Linked DNA regions of Drosophila melanogaster. The protein of the gene in region 4 interacts with the protein of the main gene of each other region in a pairwise test. Each region holds a gene or a part of one and is shown on either strand. Other genes may lie near its edges. The genes, in order: dan, RabX5, CG5708 and Cdk4.

Region 1 (8,044 bases), on a different chromosome or scaffold from region 4:
TCGTCGGCCGAACTTTCCCGAGTCCGCAAATTTATAACTTGTTTACCTGTCTCGGGCCACTTGGCGCTGCAGCGCAGAACATCCCCCAACTTGAGATACTATGCGATACTGTTGTGGGCATGGATGTGGATCCATGCCAATGCCAAGCACGCCTGTTGCGCCTTCCTGTCCTTCCCAACCTTTCAGCCTTGCTGCCTTGCTGCTTTCCTTCTTCTAGATCTGAAATGTTGCCAAAGGCAACAGCAGGTGCAGCAGAATCAGCCGCAGCAGCACCAGCAGCAGCAGCGTCTTTTGGGCCAGCTCTCAAGTCTTTTTTGGCCTGGCCAAAAGTCGAAGGCAGGCAGAAAACAGAAACCTGAGCGAGCAACAATATGCTCCGCCTCCATCTCTCCAGAAAGTGAGGCATGCAAAAGAGCTCGCCCCATGGTGCAATTTTAAAATGAAAAACACGTTTTGCGCATGACTGACACATGATTTCTTTCCCTGCATATATATGTACGGATATATCTGTATATATACATATATATCTATATATATATATATATGTGTGTGGCATTCAAATATACTGGCAGCACAAGTTGGTGTGCGTGCCCTCGCAGAGCGAACTTCTCAAAGGAAGAGAAACTTTCGAGAACTAAGAGAGTCCAGATGACCAAACTGGAGGAGTCTTTCGTTTGGCCATCCATCGCAATGCTGTTTACAAAACGCACATCGCTCCTTGGCTGGCTTTGAAGCCACTTGGAATGGAGTTTACACGTTGCCAGCTATTAATTTGAGGCTCCTGAATCACTGGACTTATCTCCTTCGGTTGCTTGTTTAAGCAGACTTGAGCTTATGATTTGGAATAAGCAGTTGGCAAGGACCAAAAGGGATAAGGTGCATCGTTTTGCCAAATATTTAATCTGGTTGGTATTGTTATAGGATATGCTAGGATGCTTTCTATTATTTGTTTTGTATGCAAAGAAAACTTAAATGAGAAAAGTGGTACTAGATTCCAGTATTTGAATTAAAGCTATTTAGTTAACTCTAAAGCGTATGCAAATCAAATGTATTTATCTACAAAGTAGGTAATCTAAGTCTATTATTATTATTATATAATTAATGTGCTACGTTGGTAATCACTGCTAATAGTTATGCGTTTGTCACCTGGTTGAGTATGCGGTTTAATGCATACCAATCTAGTTTAAGCCTCCATTTCTCGCTCCCCCTCACTTGACACCCAAACCACAAAAATAGACACTCCGGGCTGTTCATAACCAATAGAGCAGCAAATAACTGTGTCGACGGTGGTGCATGTGATTCTGCCCCTACTACCGACAACCTAAACAGCAAACAGCAAACACCTAACACCATACACCATACACCTAACTCCATTCAACTAACACCACCCACAGATCCGGAGCTGCGGAGATCCAGAGAAGCAGCGACCTGAGAACAACCTGCACCCAAACACATATCGAATAAAACTTTTACCGCTGTATAAAAATTACAAGGTCTTTGGCCATTCAGCAGCGGAGTCGAATGGGAAATGGGAAATGGCAAATGGGAATGGGTGGGTCTGAGATGGGGTAGAAGGAAAAGAATTTTTACTTTCGCTTTCTGCAGTGGGTCCGTCCTTGTCCTAGCCGGCTCGCCATTAAACTTTTCACGAACCGAACTGGGACAGTGAGAAGTGTGTAAAAAATCTAGTAACAACAGAAAAAGATGAAAGAAATAAATATAAAAGAATTACACCAAGTTTGTCAGTGTGTGTGTGAGTGAGTGTGTGTGGAAGGGGCCCGTCTGTGTCTGATGTTGCTGCTGTGCACACATGCACACTCACACACCCGAACACTTACACACACCTAGTCAGGACAGGACATATGTATGCCGGAATGGCCATACCCGTCAGTATGTCTGTAATGGCCAACCGTCTGGCCATTTCATCGTACACGTGAGTGTGTATGTGTGTGTGTGTGTGGGCTAAGAGCTTCTGATTTTCCTATATACAATTATAATTTTATTGTATTTACTATTTTTTTCGTTTCTTTGGCTTCGTATTGAACTCACTCACAGACACAGAGGGGCAATGCATGTGGCAATGTGGCAAGGACACCAAGGAGGGTCAAATGGGATGGGTCGGGATGAGCGAGGCGGGGGGAGGGGCAAGCGAAGGGGGGCAGGAGAGTCTGGCAAATGGAGGTCAACGACTGAAACTAGTACTAATATGTGCAAGCGTTTGATAGCTCCATTCGTTTGTGCTAATGCAGAAAGAAATAAAACACAAAAACGAGGCAACACATAAAAATAAGAATTCCGTAGATAAAAGAAAAAGTTGCTTTGGTCCAAACCCAATCGTGTGTTAGTGTGTGTGTGTCTGGGATGTCTGGGATGCTTCCCTCACCGCAGTTAAGTGTGTGCAAATAAACCATGTGTCTGCTGTAATGTTGGACCTGTTGGCACCAATGATCTATGTGGCTTTAAGCACTATTGCACCTTTTTTATTGTGTGTTTTCGTTTATGATTAGCCCGATTAATGTTGTGTCGGCATTTCGCAGTGGAACGAATTTATTAATTGTCGGGGGATTCAATATGAACTTTATCAAATTATCTAACTATGGTCTCATGTATGGGCAATACTATTTTAAACAATGAATCGATTTTCAGAATTACAGTTATATAATAAATAAATAAAAATATGTAAATCCTTTGATAATTTTCCTAGTGTTGAAATATCAGTGATGTTATGAATGATGTTGTTTTACAACACTGAAATGCTAATGATGTACGAGAAAAATATAATTATAAATAAAATAAAAAATAAGAAAGATAATAATAAGCAACTTTATTAAATACTTTCTAATTTATAAAACAAGATGAGAATAGTGACACAGAAGCGTTCAACAACTAAACGGATAGGAAAATAACTTTTTACCATAAATACAATCAAAAAGTATTGCATACATTAAGGGGCCAATAAAACCGGTTTCCTGTGTTTGTTAATATTGCAATTCAATATAAACTTGGTAGATAAAGGAAATCTAACTAAAACTCTTTAGTTATATAAAATTTACATTTTTTCAAGCTTATTTTACAAACCAAGTATCATATGGACAAAGTAATATTTGAATCTAAACTCGGAGGTAAAAAAATTAAATAAAAAATTAAAAATATTAATTTTTGATGGAAAGCAAATTTAAGTAATTGCTAACGCAGTGTTAGGAGGTAAATAATAAAATTACATAAGATATTAATGTTATACACAATATCTATCACTCCTGAATATTATTATAAATAAATATGAATAAATACTTTCTCGTAAAATATTTCCTGCTCTTTTGTATAAAAAAGTTGTTAAGTTGTTATTTGAAGGACCTACTAAGATTTGTACTTATTAATTTATAAAATGTGGCAACTATTCAAATACACAAAGAACTGCACTTATATTGTTTTCCAAATTGTGTAAAAATAATTCGTTTTTGTTATGTAGAAAGGTAAACAATAAATCTTCAAAACTAATCTCTCGAAAAACTTTTTATGTTTGGTTTCCGATTTAAATAAATATTTTTTGATTATTTAATATTTTTTCTTGTGTCACCAATTCTTCAAGTTGTGTTTAAAACACTCAGTTAACTGTTATTAATTAATGCAGAACTAACAATTACACTTTACGGATTGCTCAATTCACCGGTGAAATCAAATACTAACCTTTTAGTTATCTTCCGGGGGCGAAAATGGATCGGTGCCTTCTTCCAGCGAAGGCGGGAGAAATTCGGTGATAGCGCAACTATTTGCAGCAGTTAAATTATTCTTATCTCGACCGGCGATGTTTTTAAATCACTTTACTTATAGTTCACATGGATTTGAATTTATTGTTTTCAGTTAATGTTGTTGTTCATTTGAAAGTATAACATCACTCGGTCAATCACAATCGAACACTGTGCTCGCGATGCGGCGTGATGTTTACCGCTGCTGTGGCGTGCGAATTTTAGCGGCAGGACATGCGGTGCGGTGCGGTGCGACCTCTCTCTCGCGCTCGTCGAAGGATATTGTGATATTGTGACGCTGCGTCGCTGTGACGTGGATGTGCGAACCTGAGCGGCTAGCGTGCGGCGACAAACTACCGCGGCGGACTTGAGTGAATTTTGATTTTAGCGCGGCGAATTTCCGCACGGCGACGACGGCGGCGACGTCACGGGAAATTTAAAGTCGCACGTCCACGAAATGCGGCGTTTCGTTCTCACTCACATACACAAGCACACTCGCAGATATATGCGTCCTGCAGTGGTGGTTGTGTGCTGGTCAGTTGGTCTGCCTTGGTATTAGTAGTTTTGTAGTTGTCGTTTTTGTTTCTTTCACGTGTGCGTGAGTCGCTCTCTCTCGCTCCCTCTCTCGGACTCTCTTTCGCCCGCTCTCTTTCGCTCTCACTGTTGCGAAATTCGCGGCCTTTTTCGGTGACAGCCAAATGTACAATGATTAATAACGGTCAAGACGGCGGCGAAGAAGTCCTCTCGCTTTGGCTGCCCCGTTCGCAATATTCGCATTTTGGCATTTTCGCATTTTGGCCGGCCCAACCACAGGCCAGTGTCCACTCACACACACACATATCGAGCACACATACTAACACAGCACATCCTCCCACACACACACACACACACGTGCGGACACACAGCTGTGTGCAACGAAGACGACGCAATACTCGTGCTAGGCTTTTTGAGATTGAGAGACGCACATCCTTTTCGGCCTCCTTTCTTGCGCCCACGTGTGTGTGTGAGCACAGAGAGAAAAATCTTGATACCTTAGTAAAGATAATGTTATTAAATTTGGTAAGAATTCGAAATTTAGTATAATAATTTAGCAATTTTGTATCTCTTAGTTATGTACATATATTCCATGATTATAACTATGAAAATGAAATTTCATACAAATAAACGAATAGATGATACGATCGCTTGTGATGAAAAGTATATATTACTTTTCTGCCAAGCTTATATTTCCTTGTATTCTGTATTAGTTTTAGGTAAAATCTAGATTTTTTCCAGTGTAAGACTGTGTGCAACCTCAGGAGGCATTTGCTTGCGTTTAGCTAAGCCATTTTCTGCTTCCTTAAACGCTGGGCAACAACTATCAAACGAGCAACGGATCTGCGAGAAGAACGTGAAAAACCTAGCCGAAATCCCTGTCTAATTTTCGCAGTAGGGGGTGCGCCTTTTATCGTCACTGATAATTCTGCTAGTTTTCCCGCTGTCATGTGCTGCAGTTGTTGCTGTTGTGATTGCGGCCAGTTTTCCTCGCTTTGTTTTGATACATGCCTTCATCGCAGATTACGTGGGCTCGCCTCTCTTTCGCGACCGTTTCGCAAAGAGCTGAGGCAAATGAGAACCGAACATCCTCTTCCTTAAGAGAGAGAGAGAGAGAGAGGGAGAGAGCCAGTGAGAGAGCAGCTTTCGTCCTCGTCTTCGGCTTTTTGCCGCCCGAACCGAACGAAGTTATGACGGCAGGAGGTGGTGACCCCACGGGGAAACCCCCCTTGGGAAACCCACATTCTTGAAAACAAGGCGAATCCGTCCAACAGAGTGGCTTTCTTGGCTCTTTTCGTCGCTCTTTTCGCTGGAGCGTGACCGGCGATCGCCGAAGGAACCGGAATTCTCGAACGGACACTCGATCGCAAAGATATGGGCATGACATAGTGGTTGTTTCTCCATCGACTTTTGCAGGCAAATTGCTGCGGTTTAGAAATGTCAGATGGCGAAATAATCGAATTCAAATTGTGGGACAAGAAACTAATCAGCTGCAAATTTCAGGTGATAGCCAGCTTCAAAATATGTATTTCCCATATTTAGCTACCAAGAATAATATAATTGTAGTGTATATAGGTAGGCAGGACAATAACTTATGTTTTCCATTAAAGTGCCGACATATTCATACATATTCATATACTTAGTGCACAACATATTCAATGCTTGGTATACACCAATGTTTAACATGGTTACGCATTAAGATGTTTAGGTTCCTTGTAATATTAATTACCGAGCTGATAAGCTCTAGGTAGGAATAAAAAACCATGTTAAATAGATTGTTGATATCATTCCCAAGCAAGTTTCAAGTCAAAGTGTATTTTGATTAGTTCTGCGAGAGAAGAAAAACCTGACAAGTATTTGCACCATCGTGGGATAGCCCCGAGATTACGATCTTATATAATGCGTGTGTACACATAGGCATTTTGAGGTCGTAGACTTAGTAGTTGCTATGCAAAACATTTGCGCAGAGCACACACACAATCGCACATACATAGCTCCCTATTTCCCTATTGTATCTGGCCAACGAAGGCGGCCACTGACCATAATAACAACAACGGCAACGAAAAAGACAGCAGCAGTGTCGCCAGAGTTGCTAGTTGCTGCCTTTCGGGAAATCGCTAAGAAAGGTTTTTGAATCCATGTCCGAAACGCACAATCACACGTACACGCACAGCCACACGCACACGAAAACACAGGCCCAAGGATATAGTGTAGTCGTACATATAAGTAGAGGCGTATACACAACAAGGAGCAACAATAACGCAGGACTACGGAATACGGACAGCGGACAACGGACGACGGACGACGGACTACGGACGACCACGAGTATAGATGGCCGGCATGGGGCCGCATTGGCAAGAAACATATCCTTGCCACTAAAAAGCCAAGCAGCCTGCCCGGGTCGCTTCATTTCGTCACACACACACACCCGCAGCCTCACTCACTGGACACACACTGAAGCAGTTTGGCAACACGCTACCCACACAGACGCACATTCTTCTTAGCATCCGCAGGCACATCAGCATCTTTAGCGTAAATTTTGCTGCTGCGAAAATTTAGAGTTGTTGCTTTATGCCAATGTGCGTGCTAGAGTGTGTGTGCTGGTGTGTGTTTTTGGGTATATATACTTCAGATTTTCATCGGCCAACCTAAAAACCCCCCGCCCCTTAGACAGCGGAGCCCAACCCGACCGATTGTCCATTGTCCATTGTGTCCACCAAGGCAACATTTTCCATTTTCGTTCGTCCTCTCTTTGGCCGCCGGACTTTCTCTCATATCTGCAGCTCCTTGCCAGCCGCCTTCGTCCTAGCCACCAAGCCACCAAAACCGCCCAACCGCCCACCACACCACCCCTTCAGTTGGTCAAAACCCCCCTTTTCGGATGTGTATGTGTGTCCATTTGTGAGTGTGTGTGTGTGTGCTGGATGCCTTAATGTCGCTGCGTGTGTGTGTACAATTACGAATTCGTCGTCCTCGACTAAACTCAATTCACTTTCTCCCTAACTCTGGCAAGCCCGCGTCGTTGTCACCGTCGTCCTGCGATGTCCTTTCACCCAACCCGACTCACCTCCCAGAATCCCCCATCCATCCCTGAATCAACCCAACCCCTCATGTCACACCTCCGGATGGCGAAGGAAATTTTCGCGTGAATTGAAAGATGAAGGCGCACTGGGCTGGACGTTGGTCACCCCCGATGGTTGGTTATATGTACACGCATAGGTCCTTGCTGATTTCCGTTCGAACGTGTGGCTATGTGTGTGTGTGTCGGTGTGTGTACATATGCTAGAAGACGTGTGCGCTTGATTTTCAGCACCCATCTACCAACACCCACCCGCCCTGGGAATCTGCATCCTCTCACATTGTCTTTGTATAACTGTTCCTAAAACAAAATTTTCAGTTTTGCCTTCGAAAAGATAAATGTGTGTACACGAGTTTTCTATGTATGCTTTTTCGTGCTTGTGTGCGTTTCTCCCGGCTACATGTACTCGTACACTGGGATCTACTCAAAATATATCCCTAGATGCGTACTTGTTTGCACCTTGCCTTAAACTCGATTTGTCCCTGCCCATTTCAATCAACTCATCGATCATTTATTTCTATTTCGATCACCATCAATTGGGTTTGGGAATTCAATTCGATACCAGTTTGGATCAGAACTGACATTGATGGTTACGAAAGATTAACAAAAATATGAACCACCTGGAATAGAAATTTATCGAGTTTTCAAAAATATCAACGAGAAATATAATTTCTCAGAATTTTAA
Region 2 (6,680 bases), on a different chromosome or scaffold from region 4:
TTTAATTACCTCTTCGTTTAGCAAGTTAAGCTTCCCATTTAAAGACAGCCTGCGATAGAAGGTAGTATTAGCAAATTGAAAGATTGCTTGTTATTAAAAACTCACCAATTTAGAGCGCTAAAACCTGAAGTATCCAATCTGAAAGAGAAAACTGAAAGAAACTCAGAACCCATTGAGCCCACATTGAAAACCCACACTTAGTTTTTGAGTGGTTTTATTAAACCCAGACAACTTTGAAACGTTCATCCTCGCTCTACCGTGTCAGCTTAGCATTACTTTGTTTATAGAAAAGAATCTACATATAAAATGTAGAACGCGATGCCCATTCCACACGTTACCGCAGATTGCAGCGCTTATATGATGCCGATCTTGTTGGCAATGTCCAGGGCGTCGTAGTCGCGCGCCAGGCGCACATAGGCCTTCTTCTGGCCATCGGGCCGGATGAGCACGTTCACCTTGGCCACCTTGATGTCGTAGAGCTTGCGCACTGCGGCACGCACGTGGTTCTTGTTGGCGCGCAGGTGTGTGAGGAAGACCAGGGTGTTGTTGTCCTCGATCTTCTTCATGGCCGCCTCGGTGGTCAGTGGGTACTTGATGATGTTGTACGCGTCCATGCGGTTCCTGGTGGGCACCGATTTCCTGGGGTACTTGGGACTCCTGGGCAGCTTCAGGGTGGTTGGCCGACGGAAGTGCACGTTGGTGCGGATCTTGCGGGCACGGGTGCCGAAGGCGCCCTTGATGATCTGTTCGAAAAGAGCAACAAAGAACGAGGTTAGTCCGAGTCGATCTCCTCAATATTAAGCAGCTGATGCACACCTTCTTCTGGACCTTCTTGGCGTTCAGCAGAGCCACAGCCTTGGCCTTGGCGGTTCCCTTGGCGGGCTTGGTCACGGGCTTCACGCCCTTCTTGGCCTTGGCGGCCGCGCGAGCCTTGGCAGAGAGCTTGGCCAGCACGGACTGGGGCTTCTTGCCGGCGAGGACCTTCTTCTTGGCATCCTTGCTCTTGGCCTTGGCGGCCGCGGTCGTCTTTACGGCCGCGGGCTTCTTGGCAGCAGCACCGGCGGTCGCTGGCTTCTTGGCGGCCGGAGCAGCCTTCTTAGCCGCTGGGGCAGCAGCCTTCTTGGGCGCAGCGGCAGCTGGCTTGGCAGCCGAGGGAGCAGCCTCCTTCTTGCCGGCAGCGGGAGCCGCAGCAGTCTTCTTCTGCTCTGGCTTCTTGTCGCCAGGCTTGGCTGTAAACAGAAGAGCGCGGAGTCCACGGATTAGTAAACATGTTCGGCTCTCGACGCACAAAGTTAGGTTAGGCCTGATCGATCAGCAAGGCAATGGGACGCTTTCCGACTCATCCAGCTCCATTCGAATAAATTCAACTTTGGATTGCTCACTCGGTTGCTATACTATCCCATTCTGAACACACACTTGGACATTCCCACGCAGACACACCGCACGTGGCCGAAACTACGGATTATCTGTTCGAACACATTTATGCCTTAAAATCACAATATTTCGCACAAATTCGATTGCCTTCTGGTGGGCTGAGCTGTCGTCTCCCTTTTGCTGATCGATTCACGCATTTTTCGCATATTTTTGAATGAAAAATCCTTACCGGATTTCTCGGTTGGCTTTTTGGGTGGCATTTCTACGAGAAAAAGAAATGAAAAGGAAAACTGAGGGGCAGTTGTCAAAAGGCGGAAGCCCGTTTTGACAGGAGGGTGGCCAGATAGCTGGAATTTGGCACGCATTCAGTGCGTTTGGCAACACTGCTGCGGCACTTATTAGCCGTGTCTGGCTTGCTATCTTGACACTGTGCGCGTGCAACACAGCCGCAAAAATGAGTGGCAACGCTAACGGTGTTTAAAATGTAACGGTACTTGTTGAATTCGAATTTAAAGCGAAAGAAGTAACCAAATTGTTTAAAACTGTTTTATTCAATGTCTTACGTTAAGCTAAAAATACAAGTTGTGCAATCTGCAGGCTAGCAAGTACAGCCACTTTTCTGTTGCGAGAGGCGGCTTCCAAAGAAGTTGCGTAAATCTAAATAAGAATAAATATAAGCTGATAGGATAAGAATTTTCGAATAGCGGCTTACCAAAAGTTTGCGATTTAACAGATGCCTGAGTGGCCTGTTCCTGAGGCTTATTCTTAATAGACCTAATTTCCTGCATTACAGCCTCTTCAAAGGCCAGGGCAGCGATCCTTTGGAATAATTCCGTAACTTTGAAGCCAGATCGCGCCGAAACGGACCAATATTCCGCCTGAAGCTCGGCGGCTGCCAACCCTGCCAGTCGTTCCATGCGTACAAACTCCTCCTTCGACTGAAAAGTAAGTGCTATTACTTGAATCTTTTGTTGGAAAGGTGGTTTACCAAGAGGTCTGCTTTTGTGCCCACCAGGAAAACCAAGGGTCTCTTGCTTGCATTGTAGTTGAGTGCGCTATTTAGCCATTTTTTTGCCGACTCCAGCGAATCCTTCTTCGACATGTCGTAGGTGACCACAATCACTTTGGTTATGGATTTGTATTGTTAAAACTCTCTCCTAATGATTTAATTAGTTGGTACTTACCACTCGCATTGCGATAATAGGCTCCGGCGATGCACCTGAAGCGCTCCTGACCAGCAGTGTCCCACCTGCAAGTAGAGCACATTTCAAAACCAAACTGATAGCGCCTTCTAGGCAGTTGACCCACATTTCCAGACTGTAGTTGTGACCCAGAATGCTGAAGTTCTCCAGCTCAAAGTCCACGCCAATGGTGGCCTTGTAGTTCGACTGAAATTTGTCGTAGCAAAATCTGCGGATGATTGTGTAAGTTAATTAATTTAGTAATGCCTATATGCCATGCCATGCTCACCGATTGACGATGGCCGTCTTGCCCACGGAGCAGTCGCCCACGAAGATGACCTTGCAGGGTCGAAACTTGGGCTTGCGAGGCGCCTCTAGGTAGTAGCGCACCTGCGCCCCAAAGTCCCGCTCCTTGCTCAGCGGAGTCTGTGCGGCACTGTAGGCGGGTGGCAGGTGCCGCAGGTGGGTGCGAGGATCGTGCAGGACCACCGTGGGCGGTTGGGGTAACAGCAGGTTCTGCCGCAGTCGATGGGGCATGGCGGACGTCTCTATTCCAACTAACTAAGCAGCTCAAATTGGGGAAGCCAGCCACGTCGTCGGCGTCATCGCCTCCGCCGCAAACCACAAACTTGGTCGGCTTGAACTTGGTGGCTATCACATGCCCAAGGTGCCGAAAGCTACCTTACACCCCCTGCTTTGCATTGCAAATGCAGGTGCTCGATAAGAGCAGCTCGGGTGTGGGTTAGTTCCGATAGGGAGAAGGCCTTAAGAGCTGAGCTTTAATATTGGGCTGCCATTGTATCCATATCATTAAACCTTCAAGCCCGAAAGGAAAACGCTTTGGATTGGTATTTGGTGGCTTTATTTGTGTCAATCATAACACTCATACAATGGCTTATGGTTATAATATCTTGATTAATCTAATCAAGCCCTTGTTTGCTTCGTCCCACCTGGATAGCCAAAGTAGCCGACGCTCTTCACCTGCTTGCGGAGATCGGGTTGCATGGAGAGGGCCTTGAAGATGGCTCTCTTCAGCTGCTTGTACTGAAAGTGCGGCGGGAATGGCATGTCCTCGAAGGACAACATCAACAGGTTGCCCGCCTCGTTTCCCACGGCCAGCGAACGGCCGCAGTGGGTGAATCTGGAAGGCGAGGAGATGCGATAGGATCATTCAAGGAGAAGACTCTGAACTCACTTGAAGGTGGTGTAGAAGATGTCGGCGTCTATCACCGTGGAGGACACCGGCTTCATGGTGCTATTGCGCAGGTCCCAGATGTCCACGGTGCTGCGACTGAGCGAGACCAGGATGGTGGAGTGAGTGCGGCTCCAGCGGGCGCAGTGCACCGGGGACAGGTGATGCTGAAGGGTCACGATGGGCAACAGGATTCCAGCCAGCCAGATACGAATGCACCTGATGGGGACGCATGAGTGAGGATAGAGAAACCCGGAACAAAATCGCAGTTGATCTCACCAGTCGCTGCCGCAAGTGAGGTACATCCTTGGTGACCAGGGCGAGAACTCCATGCAGGCGGCGGGTCCATCGTGCACCTGCCTTAGTTCCAAGTGCTGCAGCGGGTAGTTCGTGGAGCACTTGTACAGGGTACCCTCGTCGGTCAGCACGTAGTATATGTCCGACTGGACAGGATCGAGCACAATCTCCAGACACTGCGGATGCCTGTTGGCCAGGAGGGAAGCCGCCGGAGGCTGTCGCTCGATGGGAATCCCCTCTAGCTCGCCCTCCGCCCGCTGCAAACGCTGCTGCTCGAGTCCCAGCATATTGGGACTATTGATCAGCCGGTACTTGGTCACCGCCCCAGCCTGCGAAGTGGCCAAGAAGGGCGTGATGTGCGGGTTCCTGCACCCAACATCGCCCTCGAAGTAGATCCATTTAATGGCCGTTACTGGCTCGAAGTATGGCGAGGACAAACGCTGCGATACAGCTAGTGGTGGCAGATCCTGTCCAGAAATATCCCTAACCTCCACACCTCCGTTGTGCAGTCCAATGGCCAGCAGTTGCGGTTGGGTGGGTGAAAACTCCACGGTGACCACAGGCACTTGGTAGTGGTAGCGTCGTTCCGGATTCACAGGGTTCTTGATGTTCCACACGTAGACCCAGCCGGATCTGGGTAACTTGCTGACCTTGCCGTGGCTGTACACCCCGTAGGCCACCGCCATGATGTCCCCATTGCTGGGACAGAAGCTCATGTCGCTCACCGCTTGATGAACCTTGGGATCCGACGAGGGGGGGCTCAGTCGCCACAGCAGGCCCAGTCGGTACTTGAACTTGACGTCCTCGGCCAAGGGATCTGGAGGAGCCATGTTCCTGTACCTCCGTTGCTGCGGCTCGAAGACATTGCTGGCCAAGATGCGCATGGTCAGCATGAGGGCCAGTCGAAAGCCGGGCAGGCAGTTGATCCCCACGAACTGATCCACCCCGCCCACGTGGTAGGTGGTTATCTCCATCTTCTTCGCGCCCTGCACCTGGACACTCGTGGTGGACTTCTCCAGGTCGGTGTACGTGTCGTACATCTCGAAGTTGGACACATAGGAACCCATCTGGGCGGTGGTCAGCCGCTCGGTGTTCACCAGCCTGGACTTCATCAGCGCCGTCATGGTTTGGGTGTCCGCATCGACGGTTCTCCGCGTTTTGTCCGTTCCCGAGAGCAGTTCGTCGTACTTCCGGTTGTCCTCCATCACCTGGCGACCCTCCTCCGTGTCCGCCAAGGCGGTCATGCTGCGCCGTTCGAATAGCACCACGATGGGAGTCTTTCGGAGCAGCACCTTGATGAAGGGCGTGGCTGGAGGACGGGCGGAGTGGGCGGAGCGGGCGGAGGAAGCAGGCTCCTTCAGATAATTCGGTTCCTCCAGAGTGGGCGACATGGGCGTGTCCAGCTGCAGCTTGTAAAGATTGATCTGGCGAATAAACATACTGTATGGCTTGATTTCTTTGGACATTAAGGATGATAGGCACTCACCCCCAAGGCAATGTCATCCAAGGAAGCTCTCATCACGCACTTCGTTCGGTACTCCGGCGTACGGAGCTTATGGAGTTGCTGCTGCTCCGCTCCGGGCTCCTTCATCAGCGGATGGTCCCTAATCATCCTGCTCAGTTGCTCGAAGTCCGCGGTGCGGTAATCCTTCCTCAAAGGTCGCGACATCCTTCTCAATTAATTTGAATGAGCGCGTGCCGCCGATTTCCCAACTTGTTTACTGCGTGTGCAGACATGGCAACGCAACAATGGTGGATACAATATATGGGTGCCATAACTACCAAGTGCTGTAGTTGCACTCCGATTGCAACACGGAATTCCATTAGCAGGCTCACACATGACTGCACTCATTGCGTCCATAAATATTTATAACTCACATTTAAATCGCGCAACAAAAGTGCATAATAAGTGGGTTGGTAAGCAAAAACGTATATTTAAATATGAATGTAGTTCCAGTTGTGCAATGAAGATGAAGCCACCATAGTCTAACATCAATTTGGATCATTACCTTTAGTGATTCCAATAATTTGCGCGGCTTTCTGACCTGTCACAAGAAAAATCCCCCAACCGGAGAAAAGCAAAACAAACTATAAACTACAAAATACAAACTACAAACTACCAACAAATGAAATTCGTATTCATATTCCAATTAGACAGTAGAAGAATAGCAGACGGAAAATAGTTAGATGGTATATGGTAAAAAGGTCTTTAATTCCGCCACATAGCCGCATAGGAAATGGGCAAAAGATGGGATGAGGAGGAGCACTTGGCCATGTGGGCGATTGAGAGCAGCAAGCCGTGCAGCACACTGAACGAAAATAAGATCGGGTTAAGAATGAAATATGATTAGGTTAAGTGCTCACAGCAAAGAAATGTATCTACAGAGAAATTATTTCAACATGAATCCCAAACTATAAATATGACAATCTTAATTTGAAGATAGCTTGTAATAATCAAAGCGATTTTCCGTGTATAGAAGATATGGAAGTCGAAAAGAAGTTGTTTATGTTAATTTGGCTTTATGCTTCGCTACGCTGATTCGCTTGATGAACATATAGCAAAAAAGAGGGCTGATTATGAGGACGACGACGACGACGACGACGATGACGATGATGATGAGGGGGCCCAAACCGAG
Region 3 (7,481 bases), on a different chromosome or scaffold from region 4:
GATCCCTAGGTGTCACAATGTACGTGGCAATTCAATTCCAGGGTAGCTTTAATAGTACCTGAGGGCTTTACGATTATACGAACAAATACGGACTTACAGTCAGTTATGGCTGTATCGACATGGCTAGTAATCCGGATCAAGGCTGTAAAGACTTGTTAGTTTCATATTTTTACGAGTAACTGGCCTTCATCAGGACGGACAGGCAGATGATCATTATATACTTTTCAAGGACTATAGAACAACTATTACACGGTACCTAATTGAGTTTACTCATCACCCTCAGTATTCTCTATTGATCTCGACGTTCATGAGGACGGACAGACATACGGACACAGCTAGATCCATATACTGCGCCCCTTACTTATCACAACTGCTAATAAATATTTGAAATCGTTTGTTTGGTTTGGTTTTAGGAAAGTTTAGTAGTTTTAAATTTTTAAGTAGATATGTTATACATATGTAATCGTTTTAATCGGTTATCTTGGAAAACTATCGATAACATGGCAATAAAATATAACATTTTAATTCACTTGCAGTGACAATGGATGAAAAAGATAAAGCTCAACACAACATGATATCCAACCTACCACTTTTGTTTGCGAACGGATATCCAACATCCCTAGAAAAAATTACGGAGTCCCAGTTAGAAAATTTTATTCCCTTCATGGTGCAATGCTCTTTAGGACACATAAACTTACCAAAGAAAATAGATTGCAGTGAACCAGAATGGTGGCCCGAAAGCGCTCCTTTCGAGATTCCGCTCAAAAAGCCGAAAGCATTTGTTGGGGTAAGCTTTTTTCCCTTACCTTTTGATTTCTATGGCTTATATTTAACATTCACCCCCATAAATGGCTAATATATACCTGTATCTATTTTACAGAATTGGATGGAAAAAATGAAAGAAATTGTGGTTATATGCTATCAATTTCACAAAAGCTTATTTCTATTAAGATTTTGTAATGATTTAGCTGCGTATGAACACGCGAGCTTAAGATTCATAAACAATTATAACTCAACAACTTCATTGTATGACAGGAGAAACAACAAACTGTTGGTTACATTTCGAAATGAAAACATGGTAAGCCAAGCCTACTTTGAATAATTGGGTTTTAAAATTAGTTAATTCTGAATTGGTTATTTTGCAGTCATATGATAGACAACAAAAGAACAGAAAGTGCTTGTTGCTGCAAAAGAACAACAGTTCCATTAGCGAAAACGTACAGCATATGATGGTTGAGCCACCACCTTTTGATATCTACCTATGTGACAACTGTGATGCCGAACTTTATTCTAAAGAAGCTATACTCGTAAGTTGATTGCCAAAGATTGTCAAAGTTAATAGTTAATAACTCTATTGCATAACAGGAACACGAAAACATTTGTTGCATGGAGGATGACGTTATACTTTGTGATTCCCCTGAGCCAGATAACAAAAGTGATGGGAAAAACGAAGATATCGAACAGCGCAACGCCTTTCTCTTAAACTTTAAACTGCAACCCAAATTCTCCGATAATAGTTTATCTAAAGAGAAACAGAAAACATATTCATTCAGCGAAGAAACATCAACGGAAACATCAAACAGAAAGAGGCGTTTACCATCGCGGAGAAATCGAACAGTTCATTCGTTTAGTAGGTGTTCGTTTATCCCAATATCATCACCTGCAGGACAGCAATTGTTAAAATCGACAAAACAAACAATATCAATGGATTATATTGCGGAAAGACAGGAACGCCTGGAACGCTTTTGTTACACTCCATTGATCAATAAATCAAATACCAAGCAAAAGTATTTTGAAAAAAAAACAAACACTACAGTGCATTGTACATTTAAAAAGTCACATGAACACAATTATCACATATATTCCTTTCCGCGGCGTCAATTTGTTAAACGCAGGGACACTACTGAGAACTTTTTGTTTTTGAACTCTCCGCTGATTAAACAATGCCGTCCAATATCAGTCAGATTGAAAAAAATATCCGAACACGTAATGGAAGAGCAAAATCACACTGCAAATACAAAACTCAATATAAGACTAACGCGCCACAATTCGCTCAACTCACACTGGAGAATTTCACCCACAAAGGAAGTTGTTGTTGATACAATTGACTTATGCTCCTCGGACGACGATGAGCAACAAGAGCCAGCAATAGGCTCGCCCAAAAGACTTGGCTCGGATGCACTGACTGTAATAAAACTTACACATAACAACAGAAATTTGTACAGTAGCCGCGTCGTCGAGCCAAGTAAATGTGCTCCAGAGCCAGAATCAGTAATAGTTGATAATTCGGTTAAGCCCCTACAGCAATCTTTATATATTTATTCAAACTATAAGGCTAATTCAGTAATTAGTCGCTGTACCGTAGACTCGATAGCCAATCATTCACTGGTTGGTTCCCTGAGTACATCGAATACTTTTGCTGATTCTGAGGGACACAGAAAGGAATACAATCAGGAAAACTGCAATTTTTCTAAGAACTTGGTCGCACTCACAGACTGGTACGCTCATTCGGCTAATTCGAAAAAAAGCACTACAAATCAGACTACTGAGAGTAGTACGTTTGATGCGATTTCCGCGGCTCCGCCTTTCAATGGCACTGGGCGTATAATTTCCATTGATTTAACTTCTTAGACATTTTAATCCATAGTTAAGTTAAGAAATTGTTATTTTACAAGAAAACCTAAACTAAGAATTACCATATATGAATAAATAATTTGTTTAAATACTTTTATATATAATGTCTAAATTCATTTTCTCTGCGTTTTAAAGAAAAGACATACTGTAGAGGAACCCTACTGTTTTGGGATCTCTATTACCACGTATAGATGGTAATCAGCATATTTTCCATCCGTTTTCTTCATAGTTCGAAGCGTTAATCGATGATCTGGTTGTTTGAAAGCATCGACATAAAGTACACGTAAATAGTACATGACCTTCAAAAGCTTATTTTTTTTGGTTATGAGTCACATCATAATTTTATTACGTCATTAAAGAAAGAGAGGGGACGTCAGGGTTAATACAAAGTAGCATTAATCCCATGATTGATACTTGAACCAGTCTTTTCGGTATGTACCTCAACCCAACGTGGGCTTGGCCCTTTGTAGAGTTAACCATCACCCCGCCTATTTTAGGCGATTCAGCTGTACGCGTCAGCTGCTTTTGGTTTGGCATATCTAGTTTTATATCGCATTTTCCATTCATTCCGATGGGATGAAGAATTTGATATAATTTAGACCATCCCAGATGTTTCTTTCCCACACTGTTCCACTCGATGCATTCTCACTGAAAACGTCTTTCAAAGAATACCACAGTAGTCCAATTTATGTAAGCCAAAACATATGAAAGACAACATTTTAAATGTTTATTTTATCATCATATGAAATTTCTCGGTCGCAAACGAAAATATAAATGTTTTCCACCGGAATAGAAAAATATCGGTGATCACAGCGATTATCCATATATAAAATGAATAAAATGGATGGATAAATGTCTTATAAATTTGGTATTCTTTTAACTTAAATACATAGGTAAATATAAAAATTTATTTTATTGCTTATCTTATTCAACCTCAATATAAATAGAAAAAAGCCAAGACATCATCACTGACTGCGATATTATACAGCCAAATAACTGAATTGACCGATTAAAATGTGGAAGTGTACACGGTGCACCCTGTATAATCGCGGATTGCTTGCTTTCATATCTATGAATTAGTTTGGTATGTAAAGTCGTATACAAGAAATGGTGTTTGAAACCAAAGCGATTTTACTGTTCCTCATGGTGTTGTCAAAGAAATTTTCGCTTTTAAATAATTAATTGATGAGTGTGTAAGTGAATATTGTGTTTATTGTTTACAAAAACCCCGTTTAGTCGAGTGATTAAGTGAAACAAATACCAGCATATATATGTACACAAAATTTCGCTCAAATGTGCCACTGACAGCAAATCAGTATTTCTGTACATAAACGTCAAGTTTGCCAGTTTGAAGTTTTAGTTCGCCGTAATGAACAGTGCAAATTACAAACATTAAATATTGATTAATCTATCGGCGTAAGACCGCAGTTTGATACACACATATATGTACGTACATTGCAAGCGTTCGCTGCGAGTGTGTGTATGTATGTATGGTCATTTGGGTGTTTTACTTATGTACATATGTACGTACGTGCGTATATAATCAATTTGTATGTAATGACAGCTGTGCAGAATGCAATGATTCAAAAATAATTTCAAATTGGATCGCTTTCGAAAATCCAAAAGTCATTTATTTTGCTGATTGCCTGTCGCTATTTTTGCATCCGCAATCGGCGAGAAATGGCGTGAATAGCACGTTCTGTCATCGATTGATAAAATAAATATTTTATTACCTTCTAGTGAAAATTCTGGATGGTAGTTTGAATTTTTTTTCAAAATCGGCGTAATTGTACTAAAAGAGATGCATTTATATTTTTCCTTACTAAGCTTAACATTTATCTGTAAGCCCACTGCTCCTTAAAAAATAATTGATTATTTTAAACCTATTTTAGATATTTTATGTGGTTTATGCGTTGAGTTTATGGTAGAAACACGGCAATTATGGAGTTCCACGACTAGGCTTCATTTTTGCACATGTTAAAAGGTGATTTTATTAATATATTTAACACATTTCCCTCTATCAATACATGTTTCTGTACTTTTCAGGTTTAAACCATAAACAGGACCCATATGCCTTCTACGACTTAAGTCATCAACATTATTTGCAATGAATGCAACGTTCCATTCATACAGAGACATACTAGCGGCACATCACCAAGACTCATCTAGTCCTGAGAACTTCGCCCCCATAGTAATTGACTATAGAAACTCAAACCACACAAAGGACACTGTGGAGACCAACTCGAATATCTCATCGTCTCAGCTATCGTTCATGGACGAATCTTCAAACGATTTCAATAATCAGCAGTTAATTCATTCCAACTCCCTTATTAAAGTGTGTGGTGGTTGTGGAGGTAAGTTCCTTGAATCGATTCATCTATGAGCTACAATAACTTAACTCACGTTTTCTCTGTTTCGCTTGCAGATAAAATAAGTGATAGATATCTTTTATACGCTTTGGACAGATACTGGCACAATGGCTGCCTTAAATGTCACTGCTGTGGAGCTATGCTAGCAGAAGTGGGTTCCAGCTGTTTTACGAGGCGAGGCCTGATTCTTTGCAAAAAGGACTATTCCAGGTACGCACGCATTCGACTGAAAAGATTATTTCAGCTTCCTTAAAAACATGTTGCCTACTTAATGGCGTCAACCATTTAGATACTCTTTAGATTATGTTCCTTGTGTTCAAGTTCACATTTATTTTCCAGCATGTTCGGGTGCTCCGGAGTTTGTTCTGGCTGCGGAGAAACTATACCGCCAAGTGAACTGGTAGCGAAAGCACTTACTGGAATAAATAATATCGATTTACAAAATCAACAAAAACAAATAATTAATTGCGTATTTCATCTAAGGTGCTTTAGTTGTGCTAAGTGTGGATCCAGTCTGCGTCCTGGTGATAGGTATGCCTAACAACACACTGCAGTGAAGAGCGAATTTGAAATGGAATTGCTTTTTCTTTTTGCAGGTATACTATGTTAGGAGCTAGCTTGGTGTGTGAACAAGATTGGCACAAATTACTTAAGGGCCCCGCCAACTCGAATGGAACGCTTGGACAAAGGAAAGGAAAGGTCGGTAGGCCCAGAAGATCAAAGGACTAATCAAACTTAATGTCACATAAAATATACATATATTTTAGAACATAGTTCATATTTTTAAATTACCTATAAAAATGTAATTAAATCATAATATAAAACAAGACCTTCATTTAGGTGAGTTCGATTGGGAATTACACGTGCAACTATGCATAAAAACGAATGGATAATCTTAAATCATTGAAAAATGAAATAAATTCGAAAACAATGACATAAACTAATATCGAATGACAGTAAAATTGATAGATGTTTTAATTAATTAAGACCCAAAAGGGACATCAGTCTTGTCTTAAAGAGCTTCAAGTAAACAAAATCCACAACAATTCAATTAATCTTTTTATTATGATCTAAAACATTTTCCCAGATATCTTCACAAGAATCAATAACAGTTTGCGGCGAGGACAGTTTGTGCTTCATGAAAAAGCCTTGAATTTGCGCCGGACTAGCGGAGCGTCCAAAGGAATTCACTCGTTTTCCGAACTCCTCGGCTTTTGTGGTGTCACTGCTGGCGAAGAAGTTCTTGAACATCTCCTCCAACTGATATTGCGTACAATAGCCAATGTATTCCTTTAAATCGATTCTACCAGGACGAACTAAGGCGGGATCGAGGCGGTCAATGTAGTTTGTTGTCATGAAGACAATTCTGGCCTCCGTGGAGCCCACACCGTCCAAGCAATTTAGGAGTCCACTGAACGTTATCCTGTTGAGACCGTCAAAGGCGGATTTCTGCTGCGGAGTAGCTTCGCGCGAGACGAATGCTGCGTCGATGTCCTCCAGCAGAATGATACTCTGCTCTGGCGCAACATTCAGGAGATGATTGAGTCGATCATCGGTGAGGCCTCTTTCGGATAGGTTTAGCAGGCAGACACTGTACTCCAGTTCGCCCGCCAGGGCGGTTATAAAGCTAGACTTGCCACAACCAGGTGGCCCGTACAGAAGGTAGCCTCTTCGGTAGGGGATTCCACGTTGCGTATACCACAGAGAGCTCTTAATGAAGTCCTGGCAGTCGGCAATGATTCGCTGCGAAGTTCCGCGATCCAGCACCACCGATCCAGTGGGACGCCTTCTGCGCGGATGTCCGAAGGGTCTCCATTCCGCACCCATCGCTGTGTACAGCACGGTTTTGCCCTCTGTGGCCTCCAGAGCCAGCTGCCTAGCCTCTTCGAGGATATCGAAATATATACCTTTATTGTTACCAAACGCTGTAAGCGTCACTGTCTCCCAAGGAACACCCATGTGAAGGTCCAATGTCTGTTGTTCCCTGGTCCGCTCCACCTGAATCCAATTGCCCTTGTACTGGAACAGATGCTTGCCTATGCTGGGTATGAAGTCATAGCTGGTTTTGATTGTGCCATTGTCGTTCTGCACAAAGTTTGTCTCCACGCTCAAGTGTTGCGTTTTTCGCGCTCCTCTGATCGTAATCCATTTTAACAGCCACTGATAGGATTTGTCCCGACACGGCACCTCCAGGGTAATCATGCAGTGCCGCCGGAACAGTATCACTCCGCCCTGGAGGCCCTTGCGCAATATGGCAGCAGCGGCGCCCACACCAAATAGTCCAAAACCGGCACCAAAGTAGGGATTTGACGAAAGTCCAGCTACAAGATCGGGCAAAGTCATCTTGTCTGCAAAAACCGAGAACAAGGATCAACGTTTAATTAAAGTGTTTTACTCTTTTTCGGCAATAAAACCCTATAAAACAACACCTGTTGCTTAATCTATCATCCAAAACATGGGTTCCTCCTGTAAACAATG
Region 4 (10,627 bases):
ACCGGTTGCGTTTCATGTGGTTCAGGGTTAAGAGAGCTCGACTTTGTAAACGGTATCAAGGCTCCACCAGCAGGATGGATGAGCTGCGGATGAGCTGCGGATGAGCGGATGAGCGGATGAGCCCAAGATCAAGTGCAAAGTGCCATGGGCACGAAATAAAGACATTTTACGACACTTCCTCATCGAGATGATCACAAGATCGAATCGAATCGAAATCGAAATCGAAATGGAAATGGAAACGGCTATAAGATATAGATGTAGAAATAGAATTGGAATAACTTGATTCGATAATGCGTTCGGCCTTGTCCGGCGGCGAAAAAATCAGAGTACGCTGTCCGTTTTGCAGCCTTAATATGTGAATTTTTTTTGGTTTTTGGTCGAAAATGTTAATCGGCGAAACACGTTTCTTTGTTGGCCTGTGTTGTGTTTTGGCTCATAAATTTCGAACTTTGAGTAACCATAATACTCACTTGCCAAGTGTACGCAAACATCTTTGCTGGGTATGCGTTAGTCGAGTTGCGTTGAGTGGAGTATCCTGTTTCGAGTCTGCACTTAGTCACTTTTTCCAATTCGGATGAAAGATTGTAGATTGCAGATTGCAGATTGTAGATTGAAGATTTCACTCGCGAATAGTCGAAACCGTTCTGATCGATCGATTAGTTAGTCAGTTTGTTTGTTATCAGTGATCGCTTAACACCTTGTTGGCCCCCGGGGCTATCGATTCGCTTTGGTTGGCTTCGATTCTCGTTGCTGTCGCCGCTGAGCGTGCGCTTCGACTGTTCAGAATTTTTGTGACAATTCACTTTTATACGGCCCGATTCGATGCCCTCGCCCCGCGGAACTGGTTTCCCGACCCGGGTTTCGCTAAATATTGCCGATATCGCGGCGTGCGTAGCAGCCCCCTTTGCCACCAAAAAAAAAAAAAATAAATAAATAAATAAAAAAAAAACACAACCTAGGGTTCCAGTTCCAGTGTTTTGTGGCCAAATTGCCAAATTGGTGGCACTGGCTGCATTTTGGCCGCTCCAGCTGGTCACGTAATTAACGCTTCTGCGGCTTCCCAGGGATATCAATTCAATTCAAATCAAATCAAATCGAATCGAATTGAATCACATATGCGTCACATAAGCCGCGTTTGTTTGCGCTTGGCATTAACCGATCTTCGATCTTCGGCGTTAACTAATTAAACTTTTTCCATGACGCACTTACCAATCAAGAAGACACTAATCTCCCCAGTAGTTCGGATAAGCAGATAGCAGGATGAGAATGGCGATGGGCAACTGGCGCCACACACACACACACGGAAGCCACCGTGGAGTCGTAAAGCTTGTCAAGATCTATAGCTCTAAAGATCGAGATCTCTCGCCGAGATCACGGCATCGGATCGGAACCAATTTGGTGTTCATTATGCGGCCGCTTTATGCAAATCGCTGCGATGCGGTGACGCATATTTGGATGGATAACTTGGAAAACTGTCAACCGAGCACTTGAGCTTGGCTTTCATGCTTGAGGGGAACACGTAATCCCAAGGTCTCGAGTTCTTGTTTAATGCCAATGGTAATGAGCCGCGCTCGACTGGATCGGTTCTCCGGATACCGCTGGCCAAAAGAGAAAACCCCCTTCTTGCCGCACGTGATCAGTGGATCAGATCTTGGATCTCGCATCTCAGAACTGCGATCTCCGATCATCGATGGGGTTCGGGTTTGGAACTAGTGTGTTCGATTCGCTGGGCCAGTGACGTTGTTGGCCAAGTGGCATTAGTTTGTCGATTTCAAGACCCGTCTTGGCCGTGTCAATGGCCAACCGGTTGCTTCGGCAGACTGCCGTGCTGCTGCTGCTGGCTGATTTATTCAATTGGCTAACATTTAGCCAAATTGCCCGTCAACACCCCCGAATTAAAAAAAGAATAAAAATAGAGAAGAAAAAACGGGCTCAGAACGCGCGATTCATTTGGACTCTTTGTTTGGCTTGGCATTTTCTTGCGTATTTTTAGCCAGAACCAAGCCATTTTGACCATAATATTTGTACAATAAATTTCATTTAATTAGTTTTTTGGCTCGCAGCCGGTTTGAAACGCAATAAGATTAATCGCCAGCGCCGATAAGCGCCTTCGTCACAGGCCGACAAAATGTCAGAGAGTGAAAAACAAAATATAAATGCTTATCAGCGACTTGCGTCTATTTGCCGATCGGTGAATTTCAGATTCGACCGGATCCTAACGGTATACCATATAATACCATTATTCCGGCAACGTTCCAGACACACAAACTAATGCAAATTAAATGGCTAATCCGTTGGCAGCTTCCTCGGAAATTATTAGTTGTCAGGCGGTTGAAAGACAAAGCCGATTATGATACCCAGAAATCCTGATAGCACACTCATTCATTATTCATTCATGAAAAGTTTTTTCTGTGAAATCAGTTTGGCTTGGAATCGGAAATGCATATGTTCTAATTGGGTGAGGTATGCTACACGGCTGGGCGTTGACTTCCGCGAAGGAATACGACTCATCCAGGTGCTAAGTGGGCCAAGATGGGCTGCAGCAATTGAATCACAAATGCCAATCGCCGACTGGCGCCCACCAAAGGTGAGAAAGGTGGGCACGTTCCGGCTGTCTGGGAAAGTGATATTTTCATTTCCCAACAAAACACATCCATCCTGACCAATCGCATTCGCATTCGCATTCGCTGTTTGCCCTTTCACTTTGAGCCGGAAAGGCGTACGTCATGCATAATTTAGGTGCCTGATACCCGCTGGTGGTAATTAGCACTCGGCTGACTTCGTCACTGTGCTCTAATTTGATTTCGTTACTAATTAATCGCGCTTTTTCCCCAAAAAAAAACATGGAAATTTTCGCCAATCCAATGGGTAACATTTGTGATAGGCGGTTTGTTAAATGCGTTTATTGGTTTCACAATGTATTTGCAACATTGTTTTTAAATTTACGCGCCCCACTGCGAATGCCTTGATTCGATTTCGAAATTGGCAGTGCGGCCAGATCGTTGGAAATCGGTAAGCAAGCTTTCACTCAAAAAAATGTTGAGCGACTTTTGGCATTCAACTCATGTCAATAAATTATACATTCAACGAGTGACTTTATCGCCGGATTGAGTTACAAATTGAATTATGCCGCCAATCTAGATCATTAAGACATTTTATTCCAGAATTTTGTATTATTTTGCAGGGTTATAAAAATTTAAGTTTACCAAATCCTAAAAATGCTAAAAGTCAATGACACACATGTTTGGAGTTAACTAATTATGGCCGACCAATTGTAGTTGACCACGACAGTTTTAAAATTTTCACATTTTATCGTATGTAATAAAAATTTTTTTCAAATATTATTTTCATTATGTTTATTATTATTTATTTATTTGTAATTTATATATGTTACATATATAAATGCCTGAAATTCACATTGCAAAAAAAATAAATTTGGGCATTATTACAAGTTGAAAATATCAAATTCCCAGAAATCAATAACATTAGTATAACACAATAACACTTACGTTATCGAATTGGAATAACATTCAATAACGATCGCTGGCAGCAATTTCGAAATTAACCGTTTAACCGATTGGACGTATACAGCACAATGTTAGCGGCCGTCTGTTTGCTAACAGCGGGCGATAACAGGCGAAGAGAAGCCACTGTTAAGTAGACCATCTAAAACAGTTTCCAGAGCTGTGCCAACAACAAAACACAAAATCACTCAACTCTTACGAATATTGGTAAAAATTTATAAGACGTTTTAAAAACTTAATTAAAGTGCGACTGCCGGCAACTGAACCGTGTTCGCACCGAAAATTCGCGTCGCGTTGCTCCTATCGTGCGGTTCTAGCTGGATTATCAACAAATGCCAAAATTTCGTCAAAGCGAATAAAAATCATATATGTATACATAATACCTGCGCCTGTGTGTGTGTACCACTCGGTGTGTGCGTTTGTGTTTGTGTATGTGTGTGTGTGTAAGACCGATCTCTCAAGCGAAATCACTTAGCGGCGTTGTGTGTGTGTTCGAGTCTTCGCAAATAAAAACCACATTTTCTTAATATTTAACTAATATTTCGCACAACGGTTGAAAGAAAAACGACAACATTGGCATTGAAGTTCACCGAAAAAAAAGTAAAGTGAAGCCGAAATTTCCTTATCAGTAGAGCGCAAATGGTGAGCGAGAGAGGGATGACGAGGGAGAGAGAGGGGGCGAAAACTGGTGCAACAATAACTATGTATTTTAGACCCAAATATACAGCTCGTAATACCTCGTAATACCTTTCACAATTCTGGACACTCTCTTTCTACCCAGTTTTGTGACTGTGTCGCTTATTATTGTTGTTTCGCTTGTCTCGCGATTAGAATTAATTGACAAATGCCAGCAACAAAATACATTGTATTCGGGTTCTTTTTTGCGGTATATGTATATTTTTCGGGCAAAAAAAATGCACTGACAGAAAAGTGGTAGCACTTTAGATAGGAGAGAATAGTGGACACACGCCAACTAACGCGACAGTAGATAACCAGTACAGCGTTCACAGTCAAGCTCGAATAAGAGCAACAGGATGCACGAACGAAGCCGCAAAACGGAGACGGCGAGCAGCGTCACTGAATAACATGAATAAGTCATAACTAGTGTTGGCCTTTGCCGTTCTGCGATTGGTTAGACATAAAAACGGAGTATGTACGAAAACATTAAACGCGGTTCAACGACCGCCGCCATCTACATACATACATACATATGTAGTTGTCCATGTATATGTTTCGGTTTTCGGTTCTCGGAGATAGAAAAGCATAGCGGAGCATATAGCCAGACTTCTTCCATTAGCGCACCTGTCACACCAGTCTTTATCGCCAGTTTTGGGGTTATCTAGAAAAGGCAACAGGTATGAAATCAGGTAAGGCCCTCCCTCTCTCTCTCACGCACTCGCACTCTCCCTCTCACGCTACGATCTGTGTGAACTATCGCGTGGGGACACAAGGACATATCGATACGTGACATGCAGACGATCGATAACCAAAAAAAAAACACCCCTTCACTTCCAGCTGGTGCAACTAACGGTTTCGATTACCCGGAATATTAGAGGAATACGCAAATAACCGTAAAATCCAGCTAAATGTCATATGTACGCCAGCTGAAGCGGCAGAAAATGTCCCAGGCGAAGAAGTTCGGCGATGGCGATCCGTTCAACTACCAGGAGCTCAACATCATCGGCGAAGGTGAGCGACTTGGGTGGGATTTAATAATGGGACGCGGTTGCTTTGTTGTTGGGATAGGTCCGGCTCTCTTCGCACGAGAGGCTTTCGTTTGCTGGTCGCTTGTTGTTAACGTTTGATTACTTTAATTTGCTTACAAAGTCTGGGCTATTTGGTTTCACTACTGTTTACGATCAATCGGGAGCTCCGACATTGTTATGAAGCTGAAATGACAAGTGCACTTGGAGGAATGTTGTTGTTTTTTTACCCCTTTACTAATTAAGCGTGGAAATTCCGCGAAAAGGGGAAATATTGGATGGAAAACTCCCCTGTATTGGATCCTACACCTTCTACCTGCATACTTTTAGGTCCACTCTCGGCGGACTACGTGTTTCTGCCGATCTCACATCCATGATGATCTGACAAGTGGCTCATGGTCTTTTTTTTTTGTGGTCAGTAATTACGATCGCTTGTTTGCTGTAAATAAAGCCCAAATCAATTACGTCACCGATCATGCCGATCATCATGGGCAGGCGAATGCTAATGATGGATATTGTTACTGGGTGTTGTGCGAGTCATGGGTCCGCACAATTTCATCTGTTATACAACGCACACACACACACATACACTCAAACTTTCGGCTGTCTGCCTTTCTGTGCACATTCATTCAATTATTATTCGCTTTCGCTCAGTCTCATTTTTGCTACTTTGTACTATGGAAAATTTGACCACTTTTTGTGGCCAAACTAACTCCAAACTTTTTTTGCATTGCCTTACACTAGCCCATATTTTTAATGATATATAATATATATTTTTTAGTTTGCAGATAGTCATTCAATTAACTTTTTTGCATTGCCTAACAGTAGTCACCGTTGTAACTAAATGCATGCATTTAATATTACATATATTAATCGGTTTTCGGCCAGATAAAGTGCGTAAATTTCCCATAGTGCTTTGCTTTGTTGTTTTCTTTGCGCAATTTTTCGAGTTTATTTTGCTTGTATATTTGTATATTTTTTTGACAATTCCAATTGGACAGACCAGTTGCCGACGTTCAAAAACGAGTCGAGCTCACGGCCTTGTACTTGAATGTAGCAACAGCGGCACAGTTCATAAGCCAGGTGGTCTAGAGACGGTGACAAAGGGACGGAAAACCAAATTCACCCCCCCCCCCCCTCAAGTTGCGTTTATTTCGGGTGTATCAGTACATATCTGCTGTTTCTGTATGTCAGTGTCAACCGAAATAGCCGGTGCCTTCTAGCTTTTCTACCCCCCACGCATGTCCGTCCGTCCGTCCGTTTGTCCATTTGTCCATTTGTCCGTACGGGTGATAAATTTTCGGTGACATTTCTCTGGCATGCCAGAATTTGATTCTGATTGGGAATTTTGCTCGTCTCTTGTCGTTTTTCTTTGCCCGTGAACATGTAGAAATTAAGATCACGTTGTACCTGAGACAGCAACAGTTTCATGAGGAAATTAGTCTGAATTTCGTGCAATATTTTGACTAATTTTGAGTGCATATAATATAGTCTCTAATATATGCAATTATTGCATGCATTGCAATACGATTCTTTTGGGCTAAATGCATTCATTGTCTATTCATTCAATCATTATAAACAGTTAGTTCATCGAACAAGGCAAATAAATCAAGTCACTTCAATCGTAAGGGCTATAAATACGATGTTGAATATGAAAAGTATAAATACACCATAATGATATGAAGAAGCTAAGTGGCACCTTCTCTCTTTCTCTCGCCTCTCTGATTTCTGCCATTTATCTTATCGGCACAGCTGACTTTATTTTATTCTATTTTCGGCTGTCTTTCGCATTTATTTCCCGTTGTAAGCATTTTGATGTACAATTTCGATCCACTTTTCAGGTGCCTATGGAACGGTTTACAGAGCCCGCGATGTGATCACCGGCAACATAGTGGCGCTGAAGAAGGTTAGGATATCGCTGAACGAGAACGGTGTGCCAATGTCCACGCTGCGGGAGATTTCGCTGCTGAAGCAGCTGAATGCCAGCAATCATGCGAATATTGTCAAGTGAGTATGGGTGATTTACACGCTGCCACAAGGGCAGTGGGCTTCTAAATGGCCTTGGAGTTGAGTACTTTATGTAGAACTATAGCTAGCTAGCTGTATATGAGGGGTGTTATCACCCGCCATTGGGGCCAAGTGGCGGCGCCAAAGCTATTTGCCAAACTCATTTGTAAAGAGCCGCATCGCAATGTCAGCGCGCTTGTGTTTATCTGTGCATGCTATAGCCGTAATATTCCGACGATTTGCCCCCGGCGAACGCCCTCGCTTCTGACATATGCCAGTCAAGTCAAGTAAGTCTGAAGCAAGTCGATCCGCTCCCGCTGATAACTGATCACTGCAGTTCGCAAATGTGGGCGATTTTGTATTGGCATTATGTTTGTTTGCGGCGGCCGTTAGGAATTTGAATTAACAGAGCAGCTCGATAACCACATGTTGCTGTCGCGCGTTATCGATGTGCGCACTCGCTTGCACTTTAGCAGCGTGAGAGCGCGACGCGAATACAGTACAAAGAGATCGACAGAGAGAGAGAGAGAGAGAGAGATCTCGCACAACAGAATGTTAAGTTAAGTTGCAAATGGCTACAAAGTGCAGCTGTTATTTTGTTTGAAGCCAAAAGTGTTGGAGGGGTACAAGAAATAAATCAATGGCAAATTAAGTTTCTTGTATTTATCTGTATTTTTAAAAACCCAATGTGCCAGTTGCTAAAGCAAGTGTAACAGTAGAAGGTTTCAATAAAACTGTGCCTTTTAAGTAATTCAAAGGCAATGTTAAAATAACTGCCCGAACTGATTCTAACATAATGCTAACATAACATAATGCTAATCTGCTCTGCTAACGTTTACGTTTTGCCTCTGTCCGAAAACGATCTGTAGCCTCTCTTACTGGACGCTCTCTTTGGCTCTTTGATCGCCATGTGCGCATGTGTTTGTCTCGAGTGCTTCGCGTAGTTCCCGAAACGAACAAAGTATGGCCAATGGCGTATTGGCGCACCACAACCAGCAGCATTTTATGACACATTTTTTTTATATCTCTCAACATTTCCCCCATACATCGCTCTCTGTCGCACACAAAATCAAACAATTTGTACATACAAAGATTGCACTTCCCCTCTCTTTCAGACTGTACGAAGTATGCCAGTTTCTGGAGCGCGACGGCCAATTGCTGATTCTGTTGGTTTTCGAACATGTGGAGCAGGATCTTTCGGATCTTATAGACAGACTTCCCAAATCGGGCATGTCGCCGCCCACAATTCAGGTGGGTCTCAAAATGATATCAAAATTTCAGAAAATGGTATATGAAATTATTTCCTATTGCAGCGCTTGTCAAGGGAACTACTGACCGGTGTGGACTTCTTACACTCACACCGTATCATCCATCGGGATCTTAAGCCGCAAAACCTGCTGGTCTCCTCGCAGGGCCACCTCAAGATCGCCGACTTTGGCTTGGCCAAGACCTACGGTTCGGAGATGAAGCTCACCTCCGTGGTGGTCACCTTGTGGTACCGCGCACCCGAGGTTCTGCTCGCCCAGCCCTACAACAGCACCGTGGACATCTGGAGTGCCGCCTGCATCATCTTCGAGATGTTCAATCGGCGCGCCCTATTCCCGGGCACCTCCGAAAAGAATCAGCTGGACCGCATCTTCGAGTGAGTGCACAAATACTGCCATTGAAATCGGTGATTTTTAATTACATTTATGCGATTTCACGCAGACTGACCGGTAGACCCACCGAGCAACAGTGGCCACAGACCATTTCCGTGGCCCTGGAACACTTTCCCCAGCGGCATCCAAAGAGACCAAAAGACTTTTGCCCACACCTGTGCAAGTACGCCGATGATCTGTTGAATGTGAGTATGAAAATGAAGATACATATCTTGTTGCATGGTCTAGACTAACGCATACCCTATGTTTGCCCGCAGAAAATGCTTTCCTACGACCTCCACCTGCGACCATCCGCCTTGGCCTGTTTGGAGCACGATTACTTTCAGCAGGAACCCCTATAGTCTCGATGCCCAGAAGGATAATGGATAATGGATTATGGATTATGGATTATGGATTATGGATGTGGAAGTGAAAGTGGCAGTGGACTGATCATTGCGGCCGCGCTTCGTTCTTGTTACCAATGTTCCTTTAAGTGTAGTGAAGCATTTTGTTTATTTTTTCGCGACAGTCCAGTTATTGTGTCCGGGGATACGGATCCGGAATAAAGAATACCTTAATTTGTTTGTAGTCGTAAGTTAAGTGTGAATACTACTGCCGATCAACTATCTGATGACCATTACATGTGAAACGATTCTCGAGGGCGTTTGAAGGCCCTCCAAATCGAAATGTGATACACAAAGTTCAGGAATGCATTATACAATTTCAAAATTTTGTACAACAATCATTTATATATGCAATTATATATACAGCATACAATAAGATGGGTCTCATGTCTTTTCTGCAATTTATTTCAAGTGGGGGTGCAACTTAAATTTAAAGTGTTTTTGAAGAATAATAAATATCTCATATTAAACATATTTTCGAAAAAAATTTATTTTTTATACAGCTTTTTCGAGTTTTATTACAGTTTTATATTTATGTGTACAAATAACAGTTAAGTTCTGCTGTTAAAACGATGGTCATGTTAATCATCGATAGCCAGCTGTTAACTTTTACGCATCCCTAGTTCCTTCTCTTAGCTTACGATCACTCTCATTTTGCTCTCTTTCCAGCACTTAACAGTATGTTAGACCTCGCCTAACAGAACCGTTTCAAATGGTGTGACCGCCTACTGCAAGAGCAAAGTGCTTCCCACTATTACGATAGCCAAGTTTGAAACCCAGTGTTGCAACTGATAACATTTCCATGCTGTAAGAAAGGTCATATTATTAAGCTAATATAAATACTTTTTGATGTTGTAAATATAAAAAAAACACACCAAATTGTTCAAAAATCAATAATATTGCTCTAATTTTTATTTAAAAGCAAAATTGAAAATAATATTTGAATTTATCGTTTCATTAGGGGTATTGCTAGATAAGGATGTGGTATACTTTGGTATATATAAGTATGAGCTGGTATTTTCGAGCCTCGACCGCGCGGCCACACTGACTTCCGCCTCTTTTTCGACGACAACTTGCAAAGGAAAGTTGTGTTTTTCGTACATTTTGCCAATTCACGTTTCGTGTCAAGAACCCAAGACTTAAACATGCGTTACGTGGCTGCTTACCTTCTGGCCGTCCTCGGTGGCAAGGACTCGCCCGCCAACAGCGATCTGGAGAAGATCCTCAGCTCTGTGGGCGTTGAGGTCGACGCCGAGCGTCTGACCAAGGTCATCAAGGAGCTGGCTGGCAAGAGCATCGACGACCTGATCAAGGAGGGTCGCGAGAAGCTCTCCTCGATGCCGGTGGGCGGC

Evidence for each region.
Region 1: the proteins of Cdk4 (region 4) and dan interact in a two-hybrid assay, tested with the Drosophila melanogaster proteins (one large-scale study listed by BioGRID).
Region 2: the proteins of Cdk4 (region 4) and RabX5 interact in a two-hybrid assay, tested with the Drosophila melanogaster proteins (one large-scale study listed by BioGRID).
Region 3: the proteins of Cdk4 (region 4) and CG5708 interact in a two-hybrid assay, tested with the Drosophila melanogaster proteins (one large-scale study listed by BioGRID).

Annotation. Positions count from the first base shown.
Region 1 is NT_033777.3:25,181,073-25,189,116, reverse strand, and holds the start of dan (distal antenna), read right to left. Parts: upstream 4,735-8,044; 5' UTR 3,688-4,734; intron 1-3,687. UniProt on the Drosophila melanogaster protein: Probable transcription factor with a role in the retinal determination (RD) network. Regulates ato expression and is required for normal R8 induction and differentiation.
Region 2 is NT_037436.4:1,666,993-1,673,672, forward strand, and holds RabX5 (RabX5), read right to left. Parts: upstream 3,117-6,680; 5' UTR 3,093-3,116; coding exon 2,845-3,092; intron 2,785-2,844; coding exon 2,683-2,784; intron 2,624-2,682; coding exon 2,559-2,623; intron 2,497-2,558; coding exon 2,363-2,496; intron 2,313-2,362; coding exon 2,087-2,312; intron 2,032-2,086; coding exon 1,973-2,031; 3' UTR 1,909-1,972; downstream 1-1,908. Other genes in the region: RpL23A (ribosomal protein L23A), read right to left, coding at 354-743, 817-1,229, 1,604-1,634; CG13930 (uncharacterized protein), read right to left, coding at 3,480-3,696, 3,751-3,966, 4,027-5,468, 5,531-5,713.
Region 3 is NT_033779.5:10,223,011-10,230,491, reverse strand, and holds CG5708 (uncharacterized protein), read left to right. Parts: upstream 1-3,683; 5' UTR 3,684-3,827; intron 3,828-4,526; 5' UTR 4,527-4,618; intron 4,619-4,680; 5' UTR 4,681-4,741; coding exon 4,742-4,988; intron 4,989-5,059; coding exon 5,060-5,213; intron 5,214-5,342; coding exon 5,343-5,534; intron 5,535-5,599; coding exon 5,600-5,732; 3' UTR 5,733-6,035; downstream 6,036-7,481. Other genes in the region: ova (ovaries absent), read left to right, coding at 542-787, 881-1,078, 1,146-1,307, 1,366-2,631; Bcs1 chaperone, read right to left, coding at 6,051-7,346.
Region 4 is NT_033778.4:16,575,803-16,586,429, forward strand, and holds Cdk4 (Cyclin-dependent kinase 4), read left to right. Parts: upstream 1-3,667; 5' UTR 3,668-3,731; intron 3,732-3,761; exon of another isoform or gene 3,762-4,124; intron 4,125-4,303; exon of another isoform or gene 4,304-4,891; intron 4,892-5,030; exon of another isoform or gene 5,031-5,039; 5' UTR 5,040-5,110; coding exon 5,111-5,213; intron 5,214-6,193; exon of another isoform or gene 6,194-7,068; coding exon 7,069-7,234; exon of another isoform or gene 7,235-7,567; intron 7,568-8,349; coding exon 8,350-8,485; intron 8,486-8,547; coding exon 8,548-8,876; intron 8,877-8,941; coding exon 8,942-9,077; intron 9,078-9,149; coding exon 9,150-9,233; 3' UTR 9,234-9,646; downstream 9,647-10,627. Other genes in the region: Lst (limostatin), read right to left, coding at 471-491; RpLP2 (ribosomal protein LP2), read left to right, coding at 10,421-10,627.